Struthio camelus: one gene and its partners. The protein of the gene in region 1 interacts with the protein of each later gene in a pairwise test. Links are inferred from orthologs where the notes say so. Each region holds a gene or a part of one and is shown in the gene's direction. Other genes may lie near its edges. The genes, in order: TXLNA, CCDC146, BTF3L4 and HYPK.

Region 1 (7,859 bases):
GAAAGATTCAGGTGCATGTGATCTGACAGATTTGTCTTCTATCCCTGCACTATCTTTTCTGCAGGCACAATGACTACAAAGTGGCCTCCCCAGCTTTGCGAGCTGTCGGCAACATTGTGACAGGTGATGACATCCAGACCCAGGTGAGGGGATGTGACTGTCTTACAGATGCAACTAAAGAGGAGTACAGCTCTTGATACTAATGATGCTTATGGTTGTTAGAAAGTATGTCTCCCTTATATATCAGTGCATGACTTCTTTCAGTGTGAGTGCTTTAGTTGGTAGCAGTCTGTTTCCATCAGCATGGTTTAGTCCGGCTGCTGCAGCAAGCTTTTAGAAGCAAGGCACATCAGAATAGTGTTTGTTTTTCTCTTGCTTTCTGTTATTTTGGATGTGTGGGGGTGGGGGGTGTGGTTTTAAAATGGAGCTTCAGAAAGTCTGATTTCAAGACATGGGAGATGGGGCAAAGTACCTCTCTTGTACCTTTTTCCCACAGTGATATAATAGGAGAAGTACCTTTCCTTCCCCCTTTCTGAAAAGGGCAAGGAGGGAAATGCAGCACCCATACAGCATATTCACTGTGTGAAAATTGAAAGAAGGTGGAAAACTTGGCTCTCTTCCTGATACTGGTGACCTCACTTCTGCTTTCCTTATCATAAGGTGATCCTGAACTGTTCAGCACTGCCTTGTCTCCTTCACTTATTAAGCAGTCCCAAGGAGTCGATTAGGAAAGAAGCCTGCTGGACTATTTCTAACATCACAGCAGGAAACAGAGCACAAATACAGGTACAGCTTTGAGGCTTTTAGGTTTCATTTGTAGTGATCTTGGAGTCCAAGTTCAGTGTTCAGAGTCTGCAAATCTTTTTCTTATCTGACCCTTAGAGGCTTTAAGCTTGTTTAAACTCTTTAAAACTCTTTAAATTTTGTGGGCAGGCTGCTCCCAGCTGTAGGCCAAATAAATTAGCTAAAAATCTGCTAATTGTACTACAAAGGGATGAGACTGAAATGACTGAATGTCCCCCTTTTGGATCATTGGAATAAGAACAGGACATAAAGCCCCCATTTCTCCATGCTCAATTAGAGATACCCCTTTGAAAAGCTGTAGCTTGTTAAGATGTAATTGTCCTTTTAATGGCCTACATAACAAGGCAGATAAAATGAGACTTTCTACAGGACTGATGCAATAATGAGGGACTATTTACTGTGCTAGTTATGGAATTGAATATAGGATTTGGTAGAGGAATAAAATGGAGGAATTGCTGAAAAAGGTTTAGGCCGGAAAGCTTACTGGAAAGTAGAGAGAGATTTCTTTCAGCTGCTTTTGGAAACCATGTTGCCAATTCAAACACTTCATACTGTTCTCTCTCCCCAGGCAGTCATAGATGCAAACATTTTCCCAGTGCTGATAGAAATCTTGCAGAAAGCAGAATTCCGTACAAGGAAAGAGGCAGCATGGGCTATTACAAACGCAACGTCAGGAGGAACTCCAGAACAGATCAGGTACTCCTTATGGCCCCACTTAGGGGAAATCGGTCTGAATGTATGGCAGCTTTATGTCTTTGGGATCTGCAAGACAAAGCAGTAAGGGAGAACCTCTGGGAGAATACCTGAGACATGGGCAAGGCTGTAGCTAGACAGTGTGCTCTGCTGTGCATTGCAGTTTCCTTCTGAAATGGGATAAGCAAGTGTCAGACTAATCCAAACTGCTTCCCTCTCACGTCTTTAAAATAGCTTAAACTAGGCTAAATGTCCAAACCTCATTTAAATTCCCGTGTGGGCTTAAACTCAGTGTCACCTGAGTTCACTTCAAAGGGAGCTGGCCCTTTTTTTAAAGGCAGGGTTGTATATGCATAGAAATAAGTGGAGATAAATATTAAGCTTGCAAAACAGTAAAATATACTAATAATGTTAAATAACGTTATAGTTATTTAACATTATATATAGCTTATATATATATATATAAAAAGTTATTTTAGTTTGACTCATTCCTTTGAGCTTTTTTTAAGTGAATGAAGGCGATGTTTGCTATCCTGCAAGCTGAGTGTATGTTCTGGGTGCTCTCTCTGTAGATACCTGGTAAACTTGGGTTGTATCAAGCCTCTTTGTGACCTGCTGACTGTCATGGACTCAAAGATTGTTCAGGTGGCGCTGAACGGCCTGGAGAACATACTGAGGCTCGGAGAGCAGGAGGCCAACCAGAGTGGGACAGGCATCAATCCTTACTGCAGCCTGATTGAGGAAGCCTATGGTAGGTTGTGGCTGGTGGCCTTGCTGCTATTGCCTTTGAAAACCGTAGGGTATGTTGACAGGTGTCTGCTGATGTCATGGATTTCACTTCTGCTTAGCACTTAAGTGTGTACCAGATAAGGGATTTTAGTATGTTCCAAATGAGATGTTATCACGTGGCCTGATTCTCCCAATAAGAGCAGTTCTTGAAATTCATAAGAACGTATGTTGCTTGGATGCTTCCTGTTCAGCAGTGGATTTAAGTCAGATGGCTAAAGCAGTCACTGCCCTCCTGCTGGAGGGAGGCCCCTGGGGTCAGGGCCTGCTTCTTCCCCCTTCCAGCCCCAGGACTGTCAAACTATTCATGGCCAGTTGTATTAGTCCCACTGATTTCAGTTTTGCCTTCAGCAAGGGAGCTGTGAGCAGCTAAGCCTACTGTTGTAAAGATGTCAGTGCTGTCTGATAGGGATTAAATTTCCAAGCAACTCTGGAGTAATGGGAAGAGTTAGCTTTAGATGTCAGAGTGCTGCAGACAAAATGCACATCTAACACAGGCAGGGGTCTTGCCCTGAACAGGGGTGAGGGTGGAGGATGGATGTGGGACAGTGTAAACACTGGGGTTCTCCATGTTTTGTCACACGCTGCTTTTCTCTTCTCTAAGGCTTGGATAAGATAGAGTTCCTGCAGAGCCATGAGAACCAAGAGATCTACCAGAAGGCCTTTGACCTGATTGAGCACTACTTTGGAGTAGAGGATGATTCTGCTCTAGCTCCCCAGGTAGATGAGAACCAGCAGCAATTCATATTCCAGCAACCTGAAGCCCCAATGGAAGGTTTCCAGCTATAATGTGCCCAGAGGGGAAAAGAATACTACAAACTTGCCAGGAAGCAACTGGGAGCAGCTGATGGTCCCACCCCCCTCCTTGCAAATGGAAGGCTAAACACCCACTCCACCTGTTAGGAAGCAACTCCTCCTTCAGAAACAACTAGAAGCAGTGCTTTGTCCTCATGGAGAGAAGGGGAAGTTCTTACACTTTTTCTTTTTGCTGCTGCATATGTGTCTTTAAAGCAGGCATCTGGGTGGAGGAAGGACACTGAGATAACAGATTGCACCTCTTGTGGGTTTTTTTTTTTCTTCCTCTTTGTGGTGATCTCCCAAATGTCACTTTTTACCTTGGGTACTTAAAATTGAGATTTCAGCATTGGGTTGGGTAAGAACACATAGAAAGTGAGCATTCTGATGACAATAATTCTGGAAACCTGGGTTGATCTATTTAATTTTTTTGCACATGTTACTCTTATTAAAGACTCTAATTTGCCAAGAGCAAAGTTTAGCCCTGGCCTTTCTGCGACCCTCCTTCAGTGGACAGTCCTGTTGGACCTGGGCCAAGTTCCCCTGAAATATACTGTAAATGGACAGAGAAGCAGGGAAGTCTCCCAATCCTGGGAAAGCTTTCTGGGGGAAGGATTCTTCTTTTTTTTTTTTTTTTTTCCTGGAGAACTGCTAGTGGTATTTACAAGGAAAAAAGCAACAAAACCCCAAAGATGGTAACTATGAAGAGGGTGGGATGCTTGGGTGGTTTTTGAAAGAGGAAGCACAGCTGCCATTGCACAGGCTTTGTTTGCATTGCTACTGACTGAAGTCACAAACTGTTGAAATGATGAAACCCATCTTCATTCTTACTTGAAGTTTTTTTTTTTCCTCCTCTCATGAAACCATGTTTTGAATTTTGGGGTTTTTTGGCTGGGTTGGGGTGGATCATAATATGGGCTGGGGAGGAAGAGGGCATAGCTACACTTGACAGCAGTGTTGTGTGCGGTGTTAACTTCAGTAGCAACAGGCCTGAGTTTTCAGGTTTACCTCCTGCTCACAGTTGGATCATGTACATTTTACTTCAAAAGGAAGAATCAAATCCCTGTATTTTTTATATTATATATAGGTAGATATTTGTCTAATTGGGCTTCAGAGAAAAATATATATGAAATTTCTGTAATTTATGTAAATAGAATACTGTGAGGCAGGCATACCTGGAAATGACGGTCTGTGAGCTCACTCACTGGTTGTCCTGCTTCTTTTCCTCTGTTTACTCATGTACTGTATAAGCAAACATAGATCTGTCTTAAACTCCTCTACCTGCCTTGAGTTTACTTAGCCAAGATCTCATTAAAAAACAAACTAAAAGGGGGCGGGCCAGGCTGCGGAGAGCGAAACCGCTGCGGGGGCGGCCCGGGGGCCGAGCCCCGCGCTGGTGAACGAGTAAGCGACAGCGGCGCCTCGGACGGCGGTGGGGCTCGGCGGCCCCCCCCCCCCCCCCCCCAAATCCCGGGCGGGCCCTCAGCGCCGGTAACGGCCGCCCCGCGCGCGGCACGCCGGGAGCGGTAGTTCGCGCCCCCCCCCTCCGGCCCCGCGCGCGGCACGCCGGGAGCGGTAGCTCGCGCCCCCCCCCGGCCCCGCGCGCGGCACGCCGGGAGTGGTAGTTCGCGCCCCCCCCTCCGGCCCCGCGCGCGGCACGCCGGGAGCGGTAGTGCCACCGGCGGACCCGCCGCCACTGCCGCCTCTCACCGGTATTTCCCGGCGGGCCTCGCGGCGCCGCAGCCGCTGATTGGCCGGCGGCGCGGGGGGCGCATGCGCGATGCGCGCACGCTGGGAGGCCCGGGCCGGAGCCGTGGCCTGAGCGCGGAGGCCGGAGGGAGGCGGGCAGAGAGCCGCCGCCGGCTGCGGGACCGGCGGGGCGGCGCCGGGGAGGAGGCCGCTCCGTCTTCGCTTCCCTCTGATGTGCCGGGGTGCCGCCGGCTCCTGCTCCCTGATTGGCTGAGGAGGGAGGGGGGTGACGCGTCAGACCCCTGGCGGTGACGTCACGGGGTACGTGGATGACGTCATTGCGGTGGTTGGGGGTGTGTGTGTCCGCCTGGAACGTCATGTCGGGGTGGGGAGGGGGGGCAAGGCCCTGGGGGTGCCATGGGGCGGGCTGTTAACGGGGGAGTAGGGCCGGGCCGGGGGTGTTAACGGGGGTGGTGACCGGGGTGGGGGGAAGAGGCTGGGGGGCAGGAGTGGGGCACGGCTGTGGGGAGCAGGTGGGGGGTATAGCGAGGGAGCAGGAGTGGGGCACAGCTTGGGGGAGCAGGCGGGGGGTACAGCGGGGGGCATGTGTGGGGCATGGCTGAGGGGGGCAGGCACGGGGGTGGCTGGGGGGCAGGTGAGGGGTACAGCGGGGGGCATGTGTGGGGGTGGCTGTGGGGGAGCAGGCAGGGAGTATTGGCTGGGGGACAGGAGTGGGGCACGGCTGTAGGAAGCAGGCAGGGGTACAGCGGGGGGCAGGAGTGGGGCACGGCTGTGGGGAACAGGCGGGGGTACAGCAAGGGGGCATGTATGGGGCACGGCTGAGGGGGGCAGGCACGGGGGGTGGCTGGGGGGCAGGGATGGGGGTGACCGGGGGGCAGGCAAGGGGTACAGCGGGGGGGCAGGTGTGCGGCACACCTCGGGGGTCGGTACGGAGCGGGCAGGAGGGGCAGCGTTAGCTGTGGGGCAGCGCAGGGGTGCCGGCGGCGAGGGCAGGGGGTGCCGGGGCGGCGCGGCCGGGCGGGGCGGGGTGCGAGGAGCTGCCCCTCGCCCGGGGTGCTGCGGAGCCGGCCGTCGTCCGCCGGCGCCTGGGGCAGCGCGCGGGGGCTGCGCTGTTTCCAGCAGCAGCGGAGGAAAAGGAGCGCCCGGGGGCTCGGCGAGAGCGGGGCGCTGGGTGCCGCGGGCCTGCCGTGGGAGGGGGCGCAGCCTCGCCGGCCTGGGGGCGCGTGATGCGCGTGCTTGGCTGCTGCGCCTGCTCCTCGTTTTCGCCCGTGTTTTGCTTCGGCAGCCGTGTCCTGGGCTGCTCTCTCGGAGAAAGCTCGGGTCTCCCTGGGCGATGACTGCAAAACTGCAGCAAAGGCTTTTTCCCACCTCTTGCAGAACGCTCCCTTGGCTCTAGACTAGGAGCACTGGCTGCCTCTGCTTTGTAATTAGTATCGTGATTGGAGCAGAGAACGCGGGGGAAAGAGTCAGGGAGAACATACCCTGCTGGGGGAGAGAGGAGGGAGACGAGCGGGGAGCTGAGCTCGGGCTGTTCGTTGTGGCTCACGGTGATGCTAGTTAATCTTTTCAGCGCTGAGCTCCAGCTCTGCCTGGGAGCTGCACACTTTCCTCCAGCCAGGTATGCGTTTTTGTTTTAGTTGGTGCTGACTTTTCTCCTGCGGAGGCTTTGGTCTCTGGGTCTTCCGCGTAGACAGGGGATTTATTGCCAGTGTGCACAGATCACTCTCAGCTGTGAAACATGTTTCTTAGCAGGGAGGAGAAATGTTCCAAGAGGAAAATATGGTGGGGCAAGGGGAAGTAACAGTGCTGAGAAAGATGTGCCCTACATGCTGCACGTGATTCGGGATTTGCTGCCTTGCCCTAGAAGGGGCTGCTTCTAGCATTTCTCAACTGGAAGAAGAATTATTCTGATATAGAGGCCTTTGCGTTCAGGCGCAAATCGCAAAATGCTGCTTTCCTCTGCGCTGAGCCGCAGGTGGGATAGTGGCAGCTGGCAGTGGGGAAGCAGCCTCCCCAGGGACGAGTTGCTTCTCCGTTCTGAGTTCATCGGTTCTCGTTGACTCCCCAGCAAGGTGATGAATCCTGCTATAACCCCCTAATCTGTTACTTCTTAAAATTAAACGTAGTTGCTGTTTCTCTTTTGCTAGGGTTTGTTGAGACTGAGTGGGGAGAAAAGTCGTGATGAAGAACCAAGGTGGGGAGACCAAAGCTGCCCTGCGGCCTGCTAGTTCTTCCAAAATGAGCAGCAGCCTCGTGCTGGAGGAAGGCGACTTACCTGAGGCCGCAGCACCCCTTGAAGGTGGGGAGACCCCCGGTCCCGGGACACGCAGCTCCCTGTCGGTGGCTGGGGGCAGTGCTGACAGCCCGAGCAGCGGCACGCAGGGAAGCGGGAGGGTGGGTTTCAAGCCTGAAAAGAGTTGATCTCTTGCTTTCTCCATAGGAGGGTGGGCTGTTGTATCCAACTCTTTTTACTTGTATAAGAGCAGTTGTGATGTCAGGAGCAGAAAATCCTTGTTTCTTATCGCTTCTGCATATGTGCAGTTCTGAAGTAGTTACTGCTGCCTTGGGGAACAGGTTACCAAAGTGTGGAGTTGCATCTGCCTTTGATCCTGACCTGAACATGATGGGTTATTTGCTGTTGCTTAGACCTGAAGGATCCCATACAGGAGAAAAGTCAGACAATCTTTCCCTGGGGCAGTGTTATGTTGAGTGACCTGCCCTGTTATCGGCGCTTTTCAAGTCATAAAAATAATTCTCTAGAAGGAATAAAAAACATGTCTAGTAAAGTAGGTGCTTAGTTAAAATTCACCCGGCCTTATGTATATTCTGATGCCTAGTAAACGTGGGATGTAGTGAATGCCCAGTGCATAGCGTTAGTTTAATAACCAACTGCTGTCTGTTATCAAGGAGTCTCATTTGGGGGAATTTTGGAAGCTAAGACGCGTACTAAGGGATGGGCTGCCTACTCCTTCCCTAAGCATCTGCTGTTGGATGCTCTTAGGGACAAGATACCTTTGATCTGACCCAGTACAGCTGTTCTATATGTGACGAGAGAGGCTAACTTGGGTTTT
Region 2 (7,526 bases), on another chromosome or scaffold:
ACTGTGTCAGCAAGGACTACTAAACTGTGCAAGATACTGAAAGACAAGCCTAAGACTAGACACAGCAAATATAGGCTCCTATAGGACTCCCTGTAGTGCTAATAGCAGCTGCCTTTAATTTAAGATGCATATTTAAACCTGTCCTTTATCATCTTCTGCAAATGCTCTTCAGGTTCTAGGGAGTTTCAGCTAACCTAGGAGCTTCCTGGACAAGCTGCAACTCAAAAATGCAAAAGCTGCTAAGAAATGCCCAAAACCAAAAAATAACCTAGGACCGTAAAAATGTGTACATCAATTTCTCAACTTCTTACAGCTAAGTGACAGAAGAAGAGGTCAGATAAAACTATCTGAGCAGAACAGTGTAATAAATACACACACCTCATGCACTCAAGGCAGGTCTGTGGAATGCTGAAATGCTTGCAGTCTATGATGCTTTCTCTCTAGATTGCAATTTGTTTTTACAAGGGTTAGGATACTGTGCTGATAACACTGATGTTTAATGGATACTTCTTTCCTATACAAAAGAAACAACCCAAACATTTTTTTAGTAATCAAAAAAACCCAGAACAACAAAAAAGCACACACACACACACCACACACATGCAAACAAATAAAAGACACACCCACCTCGAAACCCCAAAGAAACTAGAACTGAGGGGATACTTAAAAGTAGAACCTCATTGGCAAGCAGCACACCTACTGCACTGAAGTCTTCACTGTAATACCAACAATAAGGTGGTCTTCCAATTATATCCAGAGATAAATCTAGATATAACTGGATAACAGCCTGAACAATACTAACATCACAGGGACTCTGGGGTGCCAGATAGTAAGTAATAAAGAGGGATTGTAATACACATACTGAGCAAGATACTTGAACTGTATGATCTCACCACAAAACTAAGTGGAACAACTTGCTTAAAAAAACTAATAAAACCTATTTCAAGAACATCAAAAGCAAGATGCCTGCCAAACAGTCTGCAGAGCTAGTCGATGTTCAAAATACAATTGCAGTCTCAAAGAGCAGAGTACATTTGAAAGGCTAAATGCATTCCTTGCATCAGGGCTGAGATTACCTGGATCTTAATGCAGTAAGACCTTCTGCGCTGCCCCTCCCGCAAAGAAGAGTTAAAAAAAAAAAAAAAAAGCCTGGAGTAGCACACAATAGTCATTCAAACGTCCTAGAAAAACTCAAATACAAGACTGCTACCTATCACCTATATTAACCAAACATGCCTGGTACCAAAGAAATGAAGGGCAGTAAATGGGAAACTTAGGTTTTTTGATTGTTTGCAGTCCTGGGATGGACTCCCTTAATGAACCATACAAGTAAATGTAATCTTTGTACTTGCCAAGCAGGAAAAAAGTAAGAATTTAGTATACAGACAATTCATAAGGAAGAGTCAATTCTGTAAGAAACTTTTAAGAAGTCCCACCTTATAGAACTACTACAGTTCACTGAAAGAGTCAATGAGTACGTAGATAAGAGTCGATATATTTATGAACACTCAACTTGGATTTTCAGAAGTCTTTGACGAGGTCTTTAGTCCTATGCTTTATTTCCTGTCTTTTAACTAATAAATTACCTGTCATCTTTAGCCTTTCATGAATTTGGAAAACACTGCAAATATCATGGTTGCAAAGTTTCATCAACAATACCGAATTATTCAGAGTTACTAAAAAAACCTGACAAATTGCAGAAAGGTCTTAGAATACTGCATACCAGAATGATAAAAACAGATACTCAGTGGACAGTATACCTGTGCAATTATTCGCCAAAAGGCCTACAGTTTGTTTACACATGTAAACAGTTTCATGATGAGAATGGATAAGCACTTGGAAGGAAGATTTACTGAAAGAAAGATTCACTGTTTAGCTTTCTGAGCCACATCAGAGCTGAAAATGGCTGATGGATGTGAGAATACTTCAATGACATATCATCTGTGTTTGCCCTGTTCTTATTCTTCCCTGAGCATCTGTTTACAATTGCTGCTGTAGACAGGACAGTGGGCTAGCTGGACTCATGGCATGAATTCGCACGGCTATTCTATATAGGAAAAAGTGAGGCACATTGCAGACAGGGCAGAGGGGAAGCCCTTGATTTTATTTTTTTTTTTAAACCCAAGATACGTCTCTAGATTAGTCGTTAGGACACAAGAGGGACCTTGAGTTTTGTTTCTCATACAGATGAGAAACATCAATTCTCAGTGTTCAAAAAAAAAGAATAAATGAACAGTGACCAGAGAACAAAAGAGAATAGTGTCACTTTATAAATCCACTGCACTACTGCATTTTGAAGATGATATACAGTTTAGGTCCTTCTAACCTCACAAAGAAGGACATCACAGAATTTGAGAGGATATAGATGAAAATAACGAGGATAAAAAGGTACAGAATGTCTTTGCTGTCAGAAGAGCTTGGAAAAGCGCTAACCAAGAGAACATATACAGATGACACACACGAGGAGGGATAAACAGGATAGGATTAGTCACCATTTCTCATGGCACAGTTACAGCAGAGTAGCAAATGAAATAAAATGCCAGTCTCAAACAGCCACTTGAAACAAATACAAGGGTTTTTGGTAAACTGAAGATTTTTTTCAGCATAGCGGAACTGTATCTACACTACATACTTTGATACCACTATATATCTACATATGCACACATATAGTTAGAAAAGCAATTACATAAATTCATAGAAAAAAATACTTAACAACTGAAAAACAGAAATTGATCTCTAAGTCAGGAACTCCCGAAACCTCAGCTCAAGCAAGGGGATCTGTTAAGGCAAGCTTGCCCTGTTCCTTCCCTAAACCTATGGCCACTTTCAGGACTTCAATCCAGCAGATTTCAGCTACTACAGCTGCTCTTATGAGTTGTTTGTAGGTTCTGTACGAGAAACGCTGCCCAGATTTTTCTGTTCTGCTCAAAACTGCTAAGACTTGCACTGGAAAAGGGAGCGCTTCTTAGCTTTTCATCTGCATGGCTACCTTCCAGCCCTTTTCGACCCCTGGGGATCCCTTGGCCTGCTAACAGAGCTTGGTAGCAGGCCATATGCAAAAACCCTACTGGGAACAATCCTTAGACTGCAGGTGTGCATAGCACAACACTAAGGCCTGTATTCTCTCAGCTGAGCTGCAGTTACTTGTTTTTTTCTAAAAGACCAGCTGTCAGAGGAAAAAAAAAATAAAACCAGGCATCTGAGCTACCACTTAAGAGCGCTAGTTTTAGCTTTAACCGTTGAAAACCAAAGCTCAACAAGTGTTACGTCCAAACATGCAAGGAACCGGGAGACACGGAAGCAAAGGCCGACAACGTTTTCAAGCCTTGGAAGGGGCCACGAGGCGTTTCTGGATGCTTGTTGCCAGCAGCACTTCCAGTCCCACTGGGAGCAGTGCCGGGAAAGCCGCGACTCGCCCCACCCGAGGGCGGGATCCAGCTCTCCCCTCGGTTAAGAAAGGCCTGAGAGCAGCTCTCGCACCCGCAGGTGCCGGCGCGGCCAGGGGCGTCGAGCGGGGCCTCGCACGCCGTGGGGGCCCCCAGTGCGGCCGCCACCCCCGGCTTCACCCACCGAACTTCGGGGGCGTCTTGACGTCCACGGCCGCCTGGCTGCCCACGCTGTCGGAGACGATGGCCACCTGCTTCAGCACCTCGTCGTACCTCACCTGGACGTGGTCCAGGCGGCGGCCGCGGTCGGCGCCGCTGACGGTGACGAGCACGCGGTCGGCATCCGGGTAGCGCTGCGGGTCCAGCGGGCGCACGCTCACCTGGCAGGGCAGCCGCACCGCCAGCCGCCCCCGCGGGCTCACCGCCAGCGCCCACTCCCTCAGCGCCTTACCGCCGCCGGGCTCCGCCGAGCTGCCGCGGCGAGGCCCGCCCGCCGCCAAGCCACCCCGCCGCCCGCTCCCCTGCCACCCGCCCGCCACCAGAGACGCCCAGCGCGGGCGCAGCGCCCTCATGGCGCCCGGCGCGGCAGAGGCCCCCGAGGCTACGCGGGGCACGGAGCCATTTCCCGCCGCGACACGGCGGCGGCAGCAGCGCGCAGATGGGCACCGGGACGGCTGGTAAACAGCCGTTGGCGGCGGGCCCGGCCGGAGCCTCGCGCCAGTCCCCGCCCCCCTCCACCGAGGGGGCTTCTGGGAGACGTAGTTCCCCCCCCCCCCCAGCAGAGGGAACTACAAGTTCCCGAAAAGGGGCGACAGCAGCCGTACGCATTGACCTATGAGCGAAGGGGGGGAGGCGGAGCTTTTCCGTGTTCTGCTTCTATAGGGCAGCGGGAGGGATCCTAGGGCCAATGAGGAGCGAGCGTGACGGGCGAGGGCGGTTGAGTAGTACGAAAGGAGCGGAGCCGGCGTTGCCATAGGAACGTGGGACGCCGCTCCGCGCAGCCGGGGCCGGCCGCGGCCGCGCAGGTAGGGCAGGGGGCCGGGGCCGGGGCCGGGGCGGTGGGCCAGGCCGGGCCGGACCGGACCGGACCCCGGAGCCGGGCCTGGCCCTGCCGGCCCGGAGGGACAGCAGCGGTTGGGGTGGAGGGGGGGCTCGGGGCCACCTCAGCCCCGCTCGAGGAGGCTGCGAGGACAGGCCGGGGCGGCCTTCCCCCTCGCGGGGCCTCCCGCGGGGTCACCTCACGCGCCAGAAGATGATTTCGGTGCTCTCGAGGCCTTTTCCGTGCTCTCCTCGGGCCGGTCGTGGGGCTGCCGAGCTTTAACGTCCAGTGCGAGCGCCGGCGCTGGGGTGCCTGGCTGGTTTCCAGCCTGCTCGGCCCCCTGCGGCCCCCGCGGCCGCAGGCAGGGGGCGCGGCAGCGCGGGGCGGGGAAGGAGGAAAGGGTAAGGCCTTTGGGCGGCACCCTGCTCTTCGCTGCGCTTTTAGCCCGCAGTGACGCTTCACGTGATGAAATGCCCTTGGTCAGAGGATAAAGAAGCAGTTTACCAGATATGCTGCGAAAAACATTTTTCCAAAACAGTGTTGCGGAGCTCAAAAATTACGTGCTGTCAAGATAGCTTGGTTAACACGTTATTTATTGTGACTGCTTCTCAGACAGGCAGCCAAATAAATATTTTCCTTAGTGCTGTGCAAATGTGTCATGAAACAACAGTCCTTACAGGGTTTACCAACAAGTGGGGAAATACAGACTTCAGTTAAAGAGACTTTTATGGACTTCTTAGTCCACATTAGTATTATACAATAATTTTTAAAAAGGGGTGTGGATGAGCATAGATCATGTGAAGCTGGAGATTAAATTCCTGTTGTAGGTTTCCTAACAGTAGCTTACTGCCAATAATGAAACAGGCATAGAAAGGTGTGCGGTCTTAGCTACATTGCAACATAAGAAATAATGAAATCTAGGATTGTTGATTGGTTTGCTCACTCTTTTACACTCCATGTGTTGTTTCCAAAAATAACTATGCAAGCCATACAATATAATATTTGGTTTTAAGCTCTTTTCATCTTGTTAACTTCACTTCTGTTATTATCTGCATCTGGGAGTGATTATTTTTTAGTCCAAAATGACATTTAAATCTCTAATAGGAAAGAAGCTGGTCCTAGTTTTTTTGTCTTTCTGTAATTTTCACTGTAGAGAGTCTAATAAGGATTCATATTGGTCAATGAAGCTCTTCAAGTTAAATTATTTTGTTGGTTTATGTTATTCAGTCTCAAAAATCCTTAAATGAAAGACAAAACAGTGACGGTCAGCAATATGCTAGAATTCTAGAAAGACAAAAAGAGATTAAGACATATCTTGGGGCATGAAGAGGGCTATAAGTTAAAATTGTCAAGTCTTCAGAAATAGTTGCTTTTGGAAAAACAGTACAGAATTCTCCCCCTGAAACCAAATACTGAGTTTAGCTGTTGGTTACATAATTTGACAGGGAAGCAGTTACAGGCCTGTTAAATGGTGGTGCAATGAACTATGCTTCCACCAGATGACAGGCCATTCAACAAATAACTCTATTAACCTCCTACGTTCAAAGCAAGGAATTCCAATTTTTTTTTCAGGTGAGGCTTGACTGATGCCACACATTTCTCCTGAAGTTAGTGCTGCTGTGTCCTTATCGCAGTTTCCTGTCTCCTCTCAAACCTTAGCACTGCTGCCCCGCTGCCCCCCTTTCCTGCAGCATCTTGATAGGGCATTTGATGCTGTCTTCTTGGAGCAGAGGTTTATCAGGTTGGGCTCCATGCAGTGCTATGCATCATTTCTTATGCATCATCTTTAATATTGGCATGTCTCATGTAATTGAGAGTCTTGGTTTGACAAACTGTTCAAAGATGCTGAAGCCCTAGCTACCTATATATTTCACCGTTTTATGGGTTTGTTTTTTCCACTAGACACCTGTTAGAGGTATAAACACACTTTAAAATATATTTAAGAAGACTGAAGAAAGCAGGAAAGGTTCTACTGATGTCATCTGTATTTGAACTATAAAGTTAATTCCATTTCACCTTCATGCTTGTGACTGAATTCTACTTGATTCCATATCAGCTGGTATGGAGTGTGGCAAATTAAGTATTTCTTACCATCTGTGCAACAATAAAATGAGATTTATTTTCACTTTTAATTTTCTGACTTGTCACCTGCCAGAAAAGAAACCTTATATCAAATTTACAAATGGTTAGGGATTTAATTCGATCTGCAATTTCAAGACGTCTGCATCTGTACAATAGGGTGGGTTAAACCAGGACCTGTGAAAGTAAGTCCTTAATGATTTACCATACTCCTTAGTCATTGCCAGATGTTTACGTACCTGAATGTTGTGGTAAGTGAAAGAATTTACCAGAATATTCTGTATTACATGCAAGAGACAATAAAAAGTAGACCTTAGGTTGCTTTATGAAATAGATTTTTAAAGCCAGAGCTATATAAGAGGAGCTTTTAGGCTAAGGGAAGTCCAAGAGAGATCTTAAGGAAAGAAGAATTAAAAGAAACGGTCCTCCAGGAGAGGCTGTAGAAGGAATACGTATTTCACTTTGACAGTTAGAACAAAGTGCAGAACAAGATCAGACAGCTTCAGAAACCCAAAGGATATAAACATTACTTAGTCTACTTGGGCAGGATTAAGGTCATCCATTTGCCATACTTGTAATGAAGAAATAATACAACTTCACTATTCAGTAAGAAGAGGCTGCCCTGCAGGAGTGTTCTTGCTGGAATTACGTTCCTGCTGATGTTTACCTGCAGATGAAAGAACGTATCCTTTCAACTTGCCATCTGGAGTTAGGGCAAGATTTACCATGTACATGGCTAGTCACTACTTAGTGTTTCTTCATGTCATAAAGCTCAAGATGTTTGGTATGAGGATTTTTTTGTGAAGTTTATTAAAAATTCTTATGTATTTCTATTACAAAATATTTGTATTACATTATTGTAATTCAGTTTTTGTTTTGTAAATAACATTATTCTGTAATGTTTTTCTGGAACTACTTCCTTGAGCCTTCTTAAGTTCTCAAGTCATGCCTAGGGCACAATGTTGAGCAAACCTTGTTTTTTTTCTGTGTTTTCTTTCCTGTATTCTAGTGTGTGTGTAGGG
Region 3 (6,855 bases), on another chromosome or scaffold:
TCGGCCACGACGTGAGCCGGCCGCTCCGGCTCGTCCAGCGCCGCCCGCAGCTCCGCGGCCCGCCGGCTCTTGCCGCTGCCCCGCGGCCCGCACAGCACCACCAGCGGCATGGCCGGGACCCGCCGCTTCCGCTCGCGTCACGCCCGGGACCCGCCGCTTCCGCTCGCGTCACGCCGGCGCCTGGGCGACCGCCGGCGCCACAGCGCCCCCCGGGACAGCGGCAGCGCTGGGCCGGAGGCGGGGCGAGTGCCGAAGCGCCGCGGCTGGCCGGCTGCGTCACAGCCGTGAGGCCGCTTTGCGCCTTTGCGAAGCGCCGCTCCTTTCAGTCGCTGGTAAAACGAGCGGCGAAGGCGAGGGCGGCGGAGGGGAGTCGGTCGCCAGGGCTGCGACAGGCGCCAGCCGAGACGAAAAGCCACCCCTCGATTCTGCTCAGCGCTAGGGTGATCTGTATCGTTTCCTCGTCATCATTACAGTAATCTTCATACACCCTGTGGCCCGCAGTGCATCTGCTTTTGTCATTCTCGCTGGACGCGAGGTGATAGGTCACCCTCCCCCCCTCCCCATAAATAGGCTCTAAATGCCTTAAAGATCATTCTATACAGTAATTTTTCATCTCCTGCCCTATGGATCGGCCTTAGAACAAAAATCGGCTTTCGGGGGGGGGGGGGGGGTCTGCTTCTCTTCTCTTTTTGTTGGTTTCTCCCAAGCCTCGCAACTCACTAACACTCAAACGCTGCTGAACTCAAATAAGCGAGCGGGTCTGTGTTTCCGGCAACGAAGGAAGAGCACGCGCCTTACAGAAATCCTGCCTTACAGGATCTCCAGGGGCAGGTCCTGACTGCAAACCCTCGTGCTGCCCATGCCTGAGAGCGTATCCATCCTCCCAGCAGCCTAACGGTCTGTTAACTCGTTTTAAGATCTTCTCTGTTTTGTGGCAAAGCAATGCCACGATTATTCCCGCAAATACTGAAATTGCCTAGTTTTTGTACAGGTATATCAAATAAATGCTAAAACGTCCAGTTAAGCACTTTGTTAGACTTCTCAACTGTACCATCTGTGCTAATGTGGTGTCTGCACTAGACATTGTGTGGTGAGTGGATGGATCAGTTTGAGCGCAAAATTCAATTAACCATCCCACCCGGAAGGCATAATCCATTTCCACTAATGTCAGTATTGTGCACCTGCACACATCTTCTCAGATCTAGCTTGCAAATTAAAAAAATACATTTTAGACCTTTTAATAGAGACAGTGTTGTTTTAGAGTTTGGGTATTCCCAAAAGAGGTTCTGTTTACACAACTTACCAGTTTGCTGCAGTTTGAAACTTTTGCAGATGGCAGCAAAATGACTCCCTCAGCTCACAGTAAGGCATCAAATCTATATCTGCATGTTCAATTTTACAGAAGCTATTCGCACAGTTGAATTCAGGGGGATTGAGTGAGTACTAGTAAGTACGTGTGTTTGTGGGTTTGGGGGTCTACATCCTTCTTTGCTATGATAGAGTCAAAAACTACTTTCTTCTCATTTCAAAGACATGACTTCAATCATGTGCTTAGACTGAAGTGGTTAAACTGAGGTGGCGCCTCAGCAAAGTTAAGAAAAATCTAGACAGACTAGAGGGATTTGAACAATCTCCTAAACCACCGTCACATCTTCTAATAACCACTACTCTCGGTGGTTAAAATTTGGACTGATACAGAATCTTTGCGACTTTCTTAGCGACGCTTTTCTGTATTTAGAACTACATAACATACCTGGCTGCTGCTTCTTTCTTCCCATCTTCTAGTGTTCTCCAATGAATATGGTCTCCGAAACCTGCCAGAGAAAAGGGTTTATAAATGTTGCGTAATGTAACATGTCAGCTAACAGATGAAAACAGTCTAACCTCTAAGGACATTTTCAACTCATTTTATATTCTTTTTTTAAAGCAAAATATAATCCCAGTCTCGGAAAGACTGGAAGAAAAACAACTGGATAGTCATGGAGAGACAAATAGCTACATCCTACACAGTCTTACGAGGAATCTCACTGAAATTAATTAACAAACGCAAACCACACACATATTAATATTTACACATATGCAAATGACAAAAAAATCTCCGAAACAGAGACTAAACTAAAGTGCCTTCTGATGACTCCCCATTCCTTCTCAATCTGTGAACATTTATTAACTGCTCAGGGACAAATTAAACATGTTCCCGTTTGCCTTTCTAAATCCCACTGAATGTGGGCTAATGCAAAACTTAAAATACCGAGGCCGATAAATGATTATTAATTGCTCTAGAAATACTACACCAAACATTACAGCTGTTGATAATCATGGTGAAAGAGGACAAAAGAGCCCCATTACACAGTTTTCTGAATGTTACAGTGACTGACAAACGCAGGCAACGTTTCATTCAGTAACTGCATAACAAGTCTTGCGACGTCAGCGGAGGTAGGACTGAAAGAACATACGTTTTAACACCTGTCAAGCAGCGACTGCCACTTTTTTGGCCCGATAACCAACACACCAATATCATCACACGGCCAAAAGCCACGCGGAGATCTGAGAGGAGACTCCGAGCGTGGCACGCGGGCCGGGAGCCCCAGGGCTGACACGGGGAAGGCAGAGAGGACTGCAGCAAAGGAGCTGGAGAGAGGCGGGAGCCGGGTCAGCAAAACGCCATGGCACTTCAGCAACCGGGAGGTTTGAACTGCTGGCACAGTATTTTTATTACCTTAGCTTGTCTCCTCACGCAAACTGCCATGAACGTATGTGACGCAACACATCAAATATTTAGTTTTGCCAGTAGCGAGGGGGGTGCATCCTGTTCCTGTCCAGCCACACGCGTCAGCTCCAGAAACAAGCCTACATTGGAGCCACCCGCACGTAGCAAGGCTAATAAAGGTCGGTTTATCAGCAGAAGTCCTATTTACCTAGCGTATTGACGCATCAACTGTTTCACTCAAAGGCCAACATGTTAACTCAAGGAAAACCTTAGGTTGCTCTAGCCAGCAAAGGCTTTTTAGAAGTTATTCTTTCAACCAAAAAGCATGCTGTGGTGAGCTTCAGGATGTCCTTTAAAGCATTAAATAACGTATGAGACAGCGCCTCTTTTTCACGACAGCGAACTTGGGACTCAACCAGAGGCAACGACGGCTTGCCTGCCTCGATGTTTGACCGTTTGGGACTCACACCGCCCAGCCGGGCCGCCGTCGATCGAACCGTACGGCCGACTACCCAGGCCGGAGCCGAGACGCAGCGCTGAGAAAGGAACTCGCTCGCCCGGCCGACCCCGCCGCTGGGCCGGGGTTCAGGAGGCAGATATGAAACAGAGGAACCCAGCGAGGAGTGCTCAACGCGCCGGCGTCCGAGGGGCCTGCGGCCCCGGCGCTGGGGGGAAAGGCGGGTTGGGGTGCGGGCCAGGGCCACCTTCCCCGCCGCCCCTTGCTTGGCCCAAACCGGGGCAGCGCGCCAGGGCGGCTCTACGCGCGTCGGGGCTTCGACAGGAAAAAGAAATCACGCCGTCTGCCCCCGACGGGCACCTGCTAGCGAGGCCCGAAAGCAACGCGATAAACTGCAATAAAGCGGCGCCTCCCCCCGCCCCCCACCCCCGTCCCCGGCGAGCTCGGTCGCGGCAGCCCCACGCCCGAGGAGGAGCCCGGCCTGACCCTTTCCGAGCCCGTCCGCCGCCACAGCCGCCGCCGCCATCACCAGCGCGAGGCACAGGCACGACATGGAGGCCGCCGCCGCCATGACGCCCCGCGGCCCTCACGCAGTATCGCCCCGCGGCACCTCCGGCTCGCGAGCGCACCAGCCCCGCTGATTTTTTTTTTATTTACTTATTTATTTATTTATTTAAGCGCAGGAAGTGATGTGAAGCGGATGTGGGCGGTGCAGCGCCGCCGGCTGACAGGCTGAGGGCAGCGGTGGCCCTGGCGGTGGGTTTTTCTCTCTCGCGGCTCTTCTCCCTGGCAGAGGCAGGTCGCCGAGGCGCAGCAGGCGGTACCGCGGTCAAGCCGGGCCCCTGGTAAAAAGAAAGCCCCCCCCTGGTTCCGCCTCCCTCCCTCCCCCATTAAGACTCGTCTCGGCGGGAGCAAGCAGCGCAGGCTGGATTTCGCCTTTATTTTTCTCTGCCAAATAAACACCGTTTCCAGGACTGTCAGTGCTGCCCCAGGTGCTTGGGAAGGTAAAACCGGCCGCAAACGTTCATGACACGAGCGGGGATCCACGACGGGGGAAGAGGTTGCCGGCAAGTGCAGGATCGCGCGGCATGAGCCGCGGCGTCCCGGGTGTTGCCCGAGGGCGGAGGGCGCGGGCAGCCGGCGGCCGTGCCAGGCGCCGGGCGCTGCCTCGGGGCCGGGGGGCTGCGGCGGCTGGAGACCTGCGTTAACTCGCAGAACTCCCATTGACTTGGCGAGCAGGAAGTCTGCAGGCGCTCCCGCTTTGCAAACCTTTGTATGCCCTTCTTCCCTCCCCTCCTTTTTAGACAAGGAGACATAGCGAGCCGGTGTTGCGCTGCACCGGTGTAACAGGCCAGGACGCTGCCGCGCCGTACGCGGCGGGAGAGGGGAGGGCCGCGCCGGGCTCGCTCTGTGGTGTGGCGCCATGTCCGCCCCGCACAGGACTACAGCTCCCAGCAGGCAGCGCGCGCCCTGCGCGCCCGCGTCGACGCGAGCGTGCTTCAGCGTCGCCGCCAATCGGCGGGCGTGGAGGGCGGGGCGGGTTGGCGCCGTCACGTGGCGCGAGGCTTCCTTTCTCTGTGCGCTTCTCTTTCCTTCCTCGGCCGCCATCTTGTTCTCACCGCGTGTTGGGCTGCGGGGGAGCCGCCGGACGCAGGTGAGAACTTCCCCGCCCCGCTCCGCCACCCCCCCCTCGCTGCCATCCCCGGGCGCGCGCGGCGGCCCGCGCGCGGGGGGGGGGGAGGGAAGGGCCCAGCCCGGCCGTGAGGCAGCGGCGCGGGCAGCCCGGCTCCCTCCCCGCCGGGCCGCGGCGGGGGCAGCACGGCGGAGCCCGGGCTGGGCCGTGCGTTGGGCTCCGCGGCTCGGCGCGGCCCTCTCCTCCTTTCCCCCCGCGGCTGAGGTGTCGCCGGTTGCCGAGGGACGGGGCCCTCCGCGGCTGGCGGCCAGAGGGCCGGAGGCCTTTGTCCCGGCCGGGGTCGGCCCGTCGCGGTGTCCCTGCAGGAGGCCTCCCGGTGGCCCGTGGGAGCCGCCTTCGCGCTCTGCTTTGCACGGTGGAAACGCAGTGAGGGTTGCCGGTGACCTCCTTACCGTGCGGGAAGGCTTGAGGCGCTTTCCAGACGTTAGAGGTTTTTAGCCTTGCCAGTCTCTAAAGCTCCCGCTTTAAGGAAAATCTGCTTGGCTAACTTCCCAGTTACTGAATTGGATGTGTAGCTGCTGGAGGCCCCTAAAAAATACCTGTTTATGCGCGAGCTTCAACTGGCCCGGAGCGAGCTTGTTAGTCAGACGCATTGGAAGTTCGCTATTTGGAAAAAGCATTAAAAGTAGCTTAGTGGTGACTCTCTTCCTGGGCTCTGTTAAAAATAAAGGTTTCTTCCTGTTTTTTCTACGAGCAGTTGTGCAGTACCTGCTGGTTTGGGTCAGTTCTGAGCAGCTCAAGCTAATTAGACTGTGCCAACAGTGAAGTGACATACTTGTAAATTAACAGCTAATATTTCATTACTAAAATGCTGCAAAACTAATCTTCCTGATAATCTGCTTTATAATAAGGCAGGCGTTTCACATGCACAAACTAGTGTAGGCACTTTTTTTAAAATTACTTGAGTAGATTGACTTTAAAGCTTTTTGTTTGCTGTGTCTCTCCGCTGTTTTGGAGAAACTTCTATCCATTTTAAAAAAACTACAAATTTGAAGGTACTTTTAAAAAGAATTATGCAAGTTATCTTAATGTTTTGAGAGATAACCTGTATTTATATCTCATCGTTTAGGAACAGCACTATGAATCAAGAAAAACTGGCCAAGCTTCAAGCTCAGGTCCGAATAGGAGGAAAGGTAAGAAAAACACAAAGTCTCTTACAGGAAAGAGTGCATCTCTGAATCGATGGGTTGAGGATGAAACTTCTCTGAAACTTATTTTTATAAAACATAGACTTCAGTTCATAGAAAATCTAACTTGGATATATACTTTAGAGGCCTAAAAAATTCACTTTTCTTGTGGTCGCGATCATAGTACTGCCAGGTAAAATGCAATTTGTCTCAGTTCACAGTCACTGGATCAGTAATTTTAAGTGTGTAAGCTTTCTTCTTCATTTGGTGATTTGCTGTGACCTCTGGTAGCTCTGCGTGAGCGTACCTACTGGTTACTGCAGTTTGTCCTTTCTCTTCTCCCCATTGGCAAGTTCTGCCCCTTGCCTCATGCCAGCTCCAGGGCTCATCTGATCCTGCACTGAGCTGAATCTTTTCTCTGAGCTGGCAGGTAGCTAATAGTATAGCACAAAAAGTGTATAAGTAGTTCCGTGTGGGTGTTCATCTCCTAACCCTAGGCGTGGTAGGGGTGTTTTTATTATTTTTGTTTTGGTTTGGTTTTTTGGTACAAAGTTGGTAAAGTAGGAATTCTGAAATTGCTGTCAGTAGAACAGTTTAAAAGTGTTAATTACTTGGTTAGAAAAGCTTGAACTTTTTAAATCACTGCATTTGTGCTTCATCTTGGGAAAAAAATAACTAGTAAGAAGTTCTCAGCAAGAGTTTTACGTTGTTTACTAGTGAATAATATTAGTCTTGCAGTTTAACTTGTGGGAAAGTACTGCAGTAGTTGAGTGTTGTTTCTGTCTTTTACAGTTAAAAAAGAATAATGGAAATTGGGAGTGACTGTTAAACTGTGGATGAAGGAAATAAAGAAGCGTTTTTGACTGCA
Region 4 (7,681 bases), on another chromosome or scaffold:
CCCCGCGGGGAGGGGGGTGGCGGGGTCGGTACCGGCCGGGGAGGGGGCGGCGGGGTCGGCACCGGCCGGGGTGGCGCAAGGGCTGCGCACGTGGAGCAGCCGGACAGAGGGACAGCGGGACAGCCAGACAGCGGGCAGCGGGACAGCGGGATAGTGGGGCAGCCGGACAGCCGGACAGCAGGCAGCGGGCAGCGGGACAGCCAGACAGAGGGACAGGGGGCAGCCGGACAGCCGGACAGCCGGACAGTGGGACAGCAGCCCTGGCGCTGGCGGCCGCGGGAGGGAGCGTGGGGGCACTCACTGCCAGCTTGGGTGCCGGGATGGCAGCGACGGCCTGGGGCGTGAGCGCCCAGATCTGCTCAGGGACCAGCGCCGAGAGGACGACGTCGGGGAGCCCGGCTGGGGGCGCGGGGGGCAGCAGTCACCGTGGCGGGCCAGGGCACGCTGCTGTCCCACCCCACGCGGCACTGCCCCTCACCTGCCAGCGTCCCGATCTCCGTGAAGATTTCGGGCCCCCAGGCCCCGGCCGGGCCGAAGGCTGCGCTGGAGGTCAGGCGAGCCGCCAAGGCCTCCATCTGCTGCTCCGAGCAGCGCAGGCTCAGGGAGCCCAGGAAAGGGGCTGCTTTGCTGCGGGGCGGCGGAGAGCGTCGCGTGCCCGGAGCCAGAGCCCGGCGCAGCGCGGCGCGGTGGCAGCCTTGCCTGGAGCCGCGTCCCTGCCTGCACCTCTGCGGCGCCCTGCTGCCCGCCCGGGGTCCGCGCGCGGAGCTGAGTCCCCCCGGCCCGGGCACGGACCTGAGCTCCCCGGCGTCCAGGCTCCGCAGCTCCGCCGCCCGCAGCCCGCAGAGCAGGTGCCCCAGCGCCACCAGCTCGGGCAGCAGCAGGTCCCGCGCGCTGGCCCCGCGCTGCCGCAGGAAGCCGGACACCACGGCCCGCGTCTGGGGGAGCAGAGCCCCGAGGTGGGCGCTGGGCGGCGGGCGGGGGCCCGGTGGCCCGGCCGGCCGGCTGCAGCGCGGCGCCCGGGGGCTCACCTGCCTGCCCGACCAGCCGTCCAGCTCGCCCAGGGCGGAGAGGGCCCCCCAGTCGGGCAGCGCCAGCTGCCGCAGCTCCGGCTCGCCCAGCTGGGTGGCCAGCCGGCCCAGGAGCAGGCTGGCGGCTGCCTGCGGCGCCTGGCCGCTGCCCAGCAGCTGCACGGCCCGGCAGCACCCGCTCAGCTGCCGGCCGGCCCTGGGCGCGCTCCCCCCGGCACCGAGCCTGGGGCGCCTGGCGCCAGCATGGTCCCACAGCCCGCCACGGCCAGCACAGACCCCCCCAAGACAGCACAGACCCCCCCAGCCCAGCACAGACCCCCCCCCACCCTCCCCAGCCCAGCTCAGCCCCCCCAGTCCAACACAGACCCCCAGCCCAGCTCTGCCCCCCCAGCCCAGCACAGACCCCCAGACCAGCACAGCCCCCCCCAGTCCAACACAGACCCCCAGCCCAGCTCTGCCCCCCCAGCCCAGCACAGACCCCCCCCAGCCCAGCTCAGCCCCCCCACTCCAGCACAGCCCCCCCAGCCCAGCTCTGCCCCCCCAAGTCCAGCACAGCCTCCCCAGCCCAGCTCTGCCCCCCCAGCCCAGCACAGACCCCCAGACCAGCACAGCCCCCCCCAGTCCAACACAGACCCCCAGCCCAGCACAGACCCCCCAGACCAGCACAGCCCCCCAGACCAGCTCAGCCCCTCCCAGTCCAGCACAGAACCCCCAATCCAACACAGACCCCCAGCCCAGCACAGACCCCCCCAGTCCAACACAGACCCCCAGCCCAGCTCAGCCCCCCCACGGCCAGTACAGACCCCCCCCAGGCCAGCACAGCCCCCCCCCAGCCAGCTCAGCTCCCCCCAGCCCAGCTAAGCCCCCCAGCCCAGCACAGCCCCCCAGCCCAGCTCTGCCCCCCCAGCCCAGCACAGCCCCCCAGCCCAGCTCTGCCCCCCCAGCCCAGCACAGACCCCCAGCCCCGGCTGCGCCCCCTCTCCGGCCCGTCTCACCCGCCTGGCCTGGCCCAGGACGGCGCGCAGCTGGTCGGGGCGCAGCGCCGGGTCGGTGCTGAGCAGCCCCAGGCAGGGCCGGAGCTGCGCGGGGTCCATGGCGGCGAGCTGGGCCGCGCTCCAGGCCGCGGGGAAGGTGGCACGCACGTCGGCGCAGCTGGGCACCGGGGCTGCGGAGCCGGCGGCAGCGCGGCCTGGCCCCAGCCCTGGCCCCCAGCAGCACCCAGCCCCGGGAGGGGACGGCACCGGGGACGTGGGGCACAGGGGACACGGGGTCAATGCCGGGGGACGGCATCGGGGACGTGGGGCACGGCGGGGACGGGGCCAATGCCGGGGGACGGCACCGGGGACGCGGGGCACAGGGGGGACGGGGCCAATGCCGGGGGACGGCACCGGGGACGTGGGGCACGGCGGGGACGGGGCCAATGCCGGGGGACGGCACCGGGGACGTGGGGCACAGGGGGGACGGGGCCAATGCCGGGGGACGGCACCGGGGACGTGGGGCACAGGGGGGACGGGGCCAATGCCGGGGGACGGCACCGGGGACGTGGGGCACAGGGGGGACGGGGTCAATGCCGGGGGACGGCATCGGGGACGTGGGGCACGGCGGGGACGGGGCCAATGCCGGGGGACGGCACCGGGGACGTGGGGCACAGGGGGGACGGGGCCAATGCCGGGGGACGGCACCGGGGACGTGGGGCACAGGGGGGACGGGGCCAATGCCGGGGGACGGCACCGGGGACGTGGGGCACAGGGGACACGGGGTCAATGCCGGGGGACGGCACCGGGGACGCGGGGCACAGGGGGGACGGGGCCAATGCCAGGGGACGGCACCGGGGACGTGGGGCACAGGGGGGACGGGGCCAATGCCGGGGGACGGCACCGGGGACGTGGGGCACAGGGGACACGGGGTCAATGCCGGGGGGACGGCACCGGGGACGTGGGGCACAGGGGGGACGGGGCCAATGCCGGGGGACGGCACCGGGGACGTGGGGCACAGGGGGGACGGGGCCAATGCCGGGGGACGGCACCGGGGACGTGGGGCACAGGGGGGACGGGGCCAATGCCGGGGGACGGCACCGGGGACGTGGGGCACAGGGGGGACGGGGCCAATGCCGGGGGATGGCACCGGGGACGTGGGGCACAGGGGGGACGGGGCCAATGCCGGGGGACGGCACCGGGGACGTGGGGCACAGGGGACCGACCACTCCTGGACAGGGACAGCCTGGGGTCGGGGGGCACCAGGGGACGCAGGACCAGCCCCAGGCAGGACGGGACCCGGGACGGGGGGCACAGGGGACACGTGGCAGCTGGGCGAGGGGTGTGCGAGCAGCCCCGGGGGGAGGCTCTGGGGACCCGAGGGCAGGAGCGGGGCAGGGGCAGCGCTGCCTCACCTCGGTGGCCCGGCCCGGTGGCTCCCACCAGCGGGGCCACCAGGGCCTCCAGCTGCGGGCCGGGGCCGGGGCCGGGGGGGCGGCAGAGGCGGCCCAGCTCGCTCCCGTCCCAGTCCCGCTGGCTCTGCAGCAGCCGCTCCACCGCGGCGCGGCTCAGCAAGTCCTGCGCGGCGCGGCAGAGGCCTGAGCGGGGCGGCACCGACCCGGCGGCGGAACGGCCCGGGGCGGCGGGGTCGGCACCGGCCGGGGAGGGGGGCGGCGGGGTCGGCACCGGCCGGGGTGGCGCAAGGGCTGCGCACGTGGAGCAGCCGGACAGAGGGACAGCGGGACAGCCAGACAGCGGGCAGCGGGACAGCGGGATAGTGGGGCAGCCGGACAGCAGGACAGCGGGCAGCCGGACAGCGGGACAGCCAGACAGAGGGACAGCGGGGCAGCCAGACAGCCGGACAGTGGGACAGCAGGGCAGCCGGACAGCGGGACACCGGGACAGCTGGACAGCGGGCAGGCGGAGAGCGGGCAGGCGGAGAGCGGGCAGCCTCACCCGCGGCACGGCGCGCAGGCTCCCGGCCGGCAGCAGGAACACCAGGCGCCCCAGCTGCTGCAGGGCGGGCGGGCGCCAGCGGGGCGGCGGCCTGCGGGCAGCGGGGTCAGGGCACCGCCCGGCACCGCCCGGCCCGGCCCGGCCCGGCCCGGCCCCGCCGCCGCCTACCCCAGCGCGCCTTCGGCCAGCAGCAGCCGGCCCAGCTCCTCGGCCGCCTCCGCGGCCACGCAGGTGGCCTGCAGCTCCGCCAGGCGCGGCAGGAGGCTCTCGGGGGCCAGGCGCGCCGCGCTCTCCCGGCCCAGGAAGCCCACGAGCGGGCCCAGCGCGTCCAGGGCCTCGGCGGGCAGCGGCGGGGGGCCGCGGGGGGGCCCGGCCGGCGCGGCGCCCCGGGACAGGGCGCGCAGGGCCCCGCGAGCCAGGGCCGCGCGGCGGGCGGGCGGCAGCGCCAGCAGGCTGCGGGGCCGCCGTCTCGCGTGGGCCAGCGCCGGCCGCAGCGCCGGGCCCGGCAGCGTCTCCAGCAGCTTCGCCCTGCGGGACCGAGACTGCGCTGCGGGCGCCGCCGGCGGACGGGGCGGCCCCCGGCCCCGGCCCCGGCACCTACGGCAGCTCCATGAGGAACTCGGGTCCCAGCCGTGCCAGCTCCTCCCGGGCGAGCGGCGGCCGCCTGAGCGCCTCCTCCTGCACGCAGCGCCGCTGCGGACACCGCGGCCGTGAGCGGCGGCACCGCTGCCGTCGGGCGGCGCCGGGCTCGGCAGAGCCTGCTCCTTACCAGGCTGGCGGGCAGGGCGCGGGGCCGCGCGTAGAGGGTCCCCAGAGCCCCCAGGAAATCCTCGCGGCCCAGCTCCTGCAGCGCGGCGCAGCTCATGCCCACCACCAGCGAGCCCAGGGCGCTGCACGGCCGTGGGGTGAGACCGTGTCCTTCCTCGCTCCGGCTCGTACTGCCCGCGACCCTGGGGAGACCTGCTCGACCCCTGCCAGGGCACCCCCTGCACCCTGCCTCTGCCCAGGGCACCCAGCCCCTGCCCAGGGCACCCACCCTGCACCCTGCCCCTGCCCAGGGCACCCAGCCCCTGCCCAGGGCACCCACCCTGCACCCTGCCTCTGCCCAGGGCACTCACCCTGCACCCAGCCCCTGCCAGGGCACCCCTTGCACCCTGCCTCTGCCCAGGGCACCCACCCTGCACCCTGCCTCTGCCCAGGGCACCCACCCTGCACCCTGCCCCTGCCCAGGGCACCCCCTGCACCCTGCCCCTGCCCAGGGCACCCACCCTGCACCCTGCCCCTGCCCAGGGCACCCCCTGCCCAGGGCGCCCCCTGCACCCTGCCCCTGCCCAGGGCACCCACCCTGCACCCAGCCCCTGCCAGGGCACCCAGCCCCTGCCCAGGGCACCCACCCTGCACCCTGCCCCTGCCCAGGGCACCCCCTGCACCCTGCCTCTGCCCAGGGCACCCAGCCCCTGCCCAGGGCACCCACCCTGCACCCTGCCCCTGCCCAGGGCACCCCCTGCACCCTGCCTCTGCCCAGGGCACTCACCCTGCACCCAGCCCCTGCCAGGGCACCCCTTGCACCCTGCCTCTGCCCAGGGCACCCACCCTGCACCCTGCCTCTGCCCAGGGCAACCCCCCTGCACCCAGCCCCTGGCCAGCTGGCACCCAGCCCCTGCCCAGAGCACCCCCCCAGCCCCAGCCCTGGCCCAGGCCCCCCCCCCGCACCCTGCCCTTGCCCAGGGCACCCAGCCCTGGCCCAGGGCCCCCCCGCACCCTGCACCCTGCCCAGGGCACCCCACCTCTCCCAGCTCCCTGCCCTCCACGGGACCCAGCCCCGGCCCAGCTGGCGCCGGCAGCTCTCACCCGGTGGCGCGGTGGCTGCGGTTGGCGCTGGCTCCCACCTCCCTCCAGAGGAGCTGGGCCTGCGGAGGGGCAGCGGTGGGAGGCGGTGGGGGCGCAGGCCGCCCGCGCGGCCCCGTGCCCGGCCCCTTACCTGCTGCGGGGACCAGGGCAGGTGCGGGGCCCGCGGGGCGCCCTGCAGGGCCTGGGCGCCCGGCCGCAGGAGCTGCAGCGGCACCAGGGGCAGCAGGCAGTCGGGCCAGCCGTCCGGGGGCTGCTCCCGCCGGGGGCCCTGGGGAGGCGCGGGCGCCGGGGTGAGCGCTGCCGGCCGGCCGAGGGGCCCCCGCCTTGCTCGCCTGCGGGTACCTGCAGGGCCTGCAGCAGCGCCGCCGTCTGCGCCGCCGAGAGCAGCGGCAGGGCCGGCCCCAGGCACGCACAGCCTCGGCGCCGGAGCAGGGCCAGCACGGCCGCCAGCGACCTGGGGCTCAGGCCCGGCAGCAGGGGACACAGCCTGCCCGCGTCGCCCGCCGTCACCTGCCAAGAACCGCGCCGGCCCGCTCAGGCCGCCGTGCCGCAGCGGGGCAGGCCGGGCTGCCGGCCCCGGGAGCGGCCGAGGGGCTGGGAGCAGGGGCAGGCGTGGGGACAGCAGCGCAGGGCTGCGCCGCGCGGGGGTCTCGTCCTCTCCCTGCTCCCGGGCTCGGGGGAGGCAGGAGCATCCGGACACTCACGTCGTCCCTCCGGACGGCCCGGGTGAGCAGGAAGGATGCCTGGAGGGAAGGACGAGGCGGTGGGGCCAGCGGCGGGGCCGCGCGCCCGGGGGGCCGGTGGCACCGCCAGCTGGGCGGACGGCGAGGCTCCGGGGTGCCGCGCCGGGCTCACCTGGGCGCGCGTCAGCTGCGCGGGCTGCAGCGCGGGCAGCAGGGCGTCCAGCTGGGCAGCCGACAGGCGCTCCAGGAAGCCCACCCCCATTTCGGGGAGGACGCCTCTCCACGCCGGCAGCTCCCCAGGGCCCATCGCGGCCAGGCTGGTGGAGCGCAGCAAGTCCGCGAGGGCGAGCATGACCTGCCGGCGCGGAGCCGCAGGGCTGTGAGCCTGGGGCTGGTGGGCAGATTGCCCCCCGGCCGGCCCCACGGCAGGGGAAGGGACGGAGCTGCTCCCGGCACCCGGCCCCAGCGCGCTGCCTGGCCAGGAGCCGGCGCCGGCGGCCCCGTCGTGGCCGGGCTCTCCCAGCAGCCAGGCGACGGGAGGCTGCAGCTGCGGGGCGCCCGCTGGCGGGGTGCCCCGGGGATGCCCCGCGCGCCGCCGGCTCACCCGCCCATGCTGCTGCAGGGTCCCCGCGGCGGCGCACGCCAGCAGGCTCTGCTCCACCGGCCCCCGCGGGTCTTGCAGCGCCGCCAGCTCCTGCAGCTCCTCGGGGCTCAGGAAGCAGGCGAGGGTCCCAAGCCTGCGCGGAAACAGCCACGGCCCAGAGCCGGCGCGGGCAGCCCTGCGAGCGCCTGCCCTGGCGCTGCTCCCTGCCCCTCACCGGGGCGGCAGGGCACGGCTCGGGGCAGGGCCGCGCGGGCGCTGGCAGCACCCCGTCGCCCTCACCTCTGCGCTGCCGCGGGGCCGGCCTCGCGGCTCCCGTTCACCAGGCTGCGTGCCACATGGTGGCCCTGCGCCAGCCCCAGGGGCAGCAGCTGCCAGCCGTCCCCCAGCCCCCAGATCTGCCCAGGCACAAAGGGGTCAACGCACAGAGGGAGCCTTGGCCGGGGTCTCCCGGCCAGACCGGGCTGGGCATGGGGGATTGCCAGACGGAGGGGTGCTGGGTCGGGGGGGTGGCAGGTCCCAGCCCCACGGCAGGGTCGGAGGTGGCAAGTCCCAGTCCTGCAGCAGGGTTGGGGGGTGGCAGGTCCC

The links.
Region 2: the proteins of TXLNA (region 1) and CCDC146 interact in binary tests that used the Homo sapiens proteins (3 or more experiments, as listed by UniProt). The link is inferred for Struthio camelus from reciprocal best matches to the Homo sapiens genes TXLNA and CCDC146.
Region 3: the proteins of TXLNA (region 1) and BTF3L4 interact in binary tests that used the Homo sapiens proteins (3 or more experiments, as listed by UniProt). The two-hybrid records come from large-scale screens. The link is inferred for Struthio camelus from reciprocal best matches to the Homo sapiens genes TXLNA and BTF3L4.
Region 4: the proteins of TXLNA (region 1) and HYPK interact in binary tests that used the Homo sapiens proteins (3 or more experiments, as listed by UniProt). The two-hybrid records come from large-scale screens. The link is inferred for Struthio camelus from reciprocal best matches to the Homo sapiens genes TXLNA and HYPK.

What each region holds. Positions count from the first base shown.
Region 1 is NC_090964.1:8,542,290-8,550,148, forward strand, and holds the start of TXLNA (alpha-taxilin), read left to right. Parts: upstream 1-4,857; 5' UTR 4,858-5,088; intron 5,089-6,358; exon of another isoform or gene 6,359-6,406; intron 6,407-6,935; 5' UTR 6,936-6,969; coding exon 6,970-7,087; intron 7,088-7,859. Other genes in the region: KPNA6 (importin subunit alpha-7), read left to right, coding at 65-143, 661-786, 1,373-1,500, 2,070-2,248, 2,888-3,072. UniProt on the Homo sapiens protein: May be involved in intracellular vesicle traffic and potentially in calcium-dependent exocytosis in neuroendocrine cells.
Region 2 is NC_090942.1:14,107,397-14,114,922, reverse strand, and holds the start of CCDC146 (coiled-coil domain-containing protein 146), read left to right. Parts: upstream 1-4,510; 5' UTR 4,511-6,011; coding exon 6,012-6,166; intron 6,167-7,526. Other genes in the region: protein FAM185A, read right to left, coding at 3,571-3,958. UniProt on the Homo sapiens protein: Essential for sperm flagellum biogenesis and male fertility.
Region 3 is NC_090949.1:31,393,973-31,400,827, forward strand, and holds the start of BTF3L4 (transcription factor BTF3 homolog 4), read left to right. Parts: upstream 1-3,855; 5' UTR 3,856-4,012; exon of another isoform or gene 4,013-4,821; intron 4,822-4,954; exon of another isoform or gene 4,955-5,290; intron 5,291-5,929; 5' UTR 5,930-5,939; coding exon 5,940-5,993; intron 5,994-6,855. Other genes in the region: TXNDC12 (thioredoxin domain-containing protein 12), read right to left, coding at 1-110.
Region 4 is NC_090953.1:424,506-432,186, forward strand, and holds the start of HYPK (huntingtin-interacting protein K), read left to right. Parts: upstream 1-4,673; 5' UTR 4,674-4,677; intron 4,678-4,727; coding exon of another isoform or gene 4,728-4,848; intron 4,849-5,809; coding exon of another isoform or gene 5,810-5,868; intron 5,869-5,939; coding exon of another isoform or gene 5,940-6,077; intron 6,078-6,151; coding exon of another isoform or gene 6,152-6,319; intron 6,320-6,664; coding exon of another isoform or gene 6,665-6,847; intron 6,848-7,096; coding exon of another isoform or gene 7,097-7,229; intron 7,230-7,375; coding exon of another isoform or gene 7,376-7,491; intron 7,492-7,681. Other genes in the region: STRC (stereocilin), read right to left, coding at 302-399, 479-627, 793-935, 1,029-1,184, 2,024-2,193, 3,418-3,580, 3,959-4,049, 4,127-4,486 and 8 more. UniProt on the Homo sapiens protein: Component of several N-terminal acetyltransferase complexes. Inhibits the N-terminal acetylation activity of the N-terminal acetyltransferase NAA10-NAA15 complex (also called the NatA complex).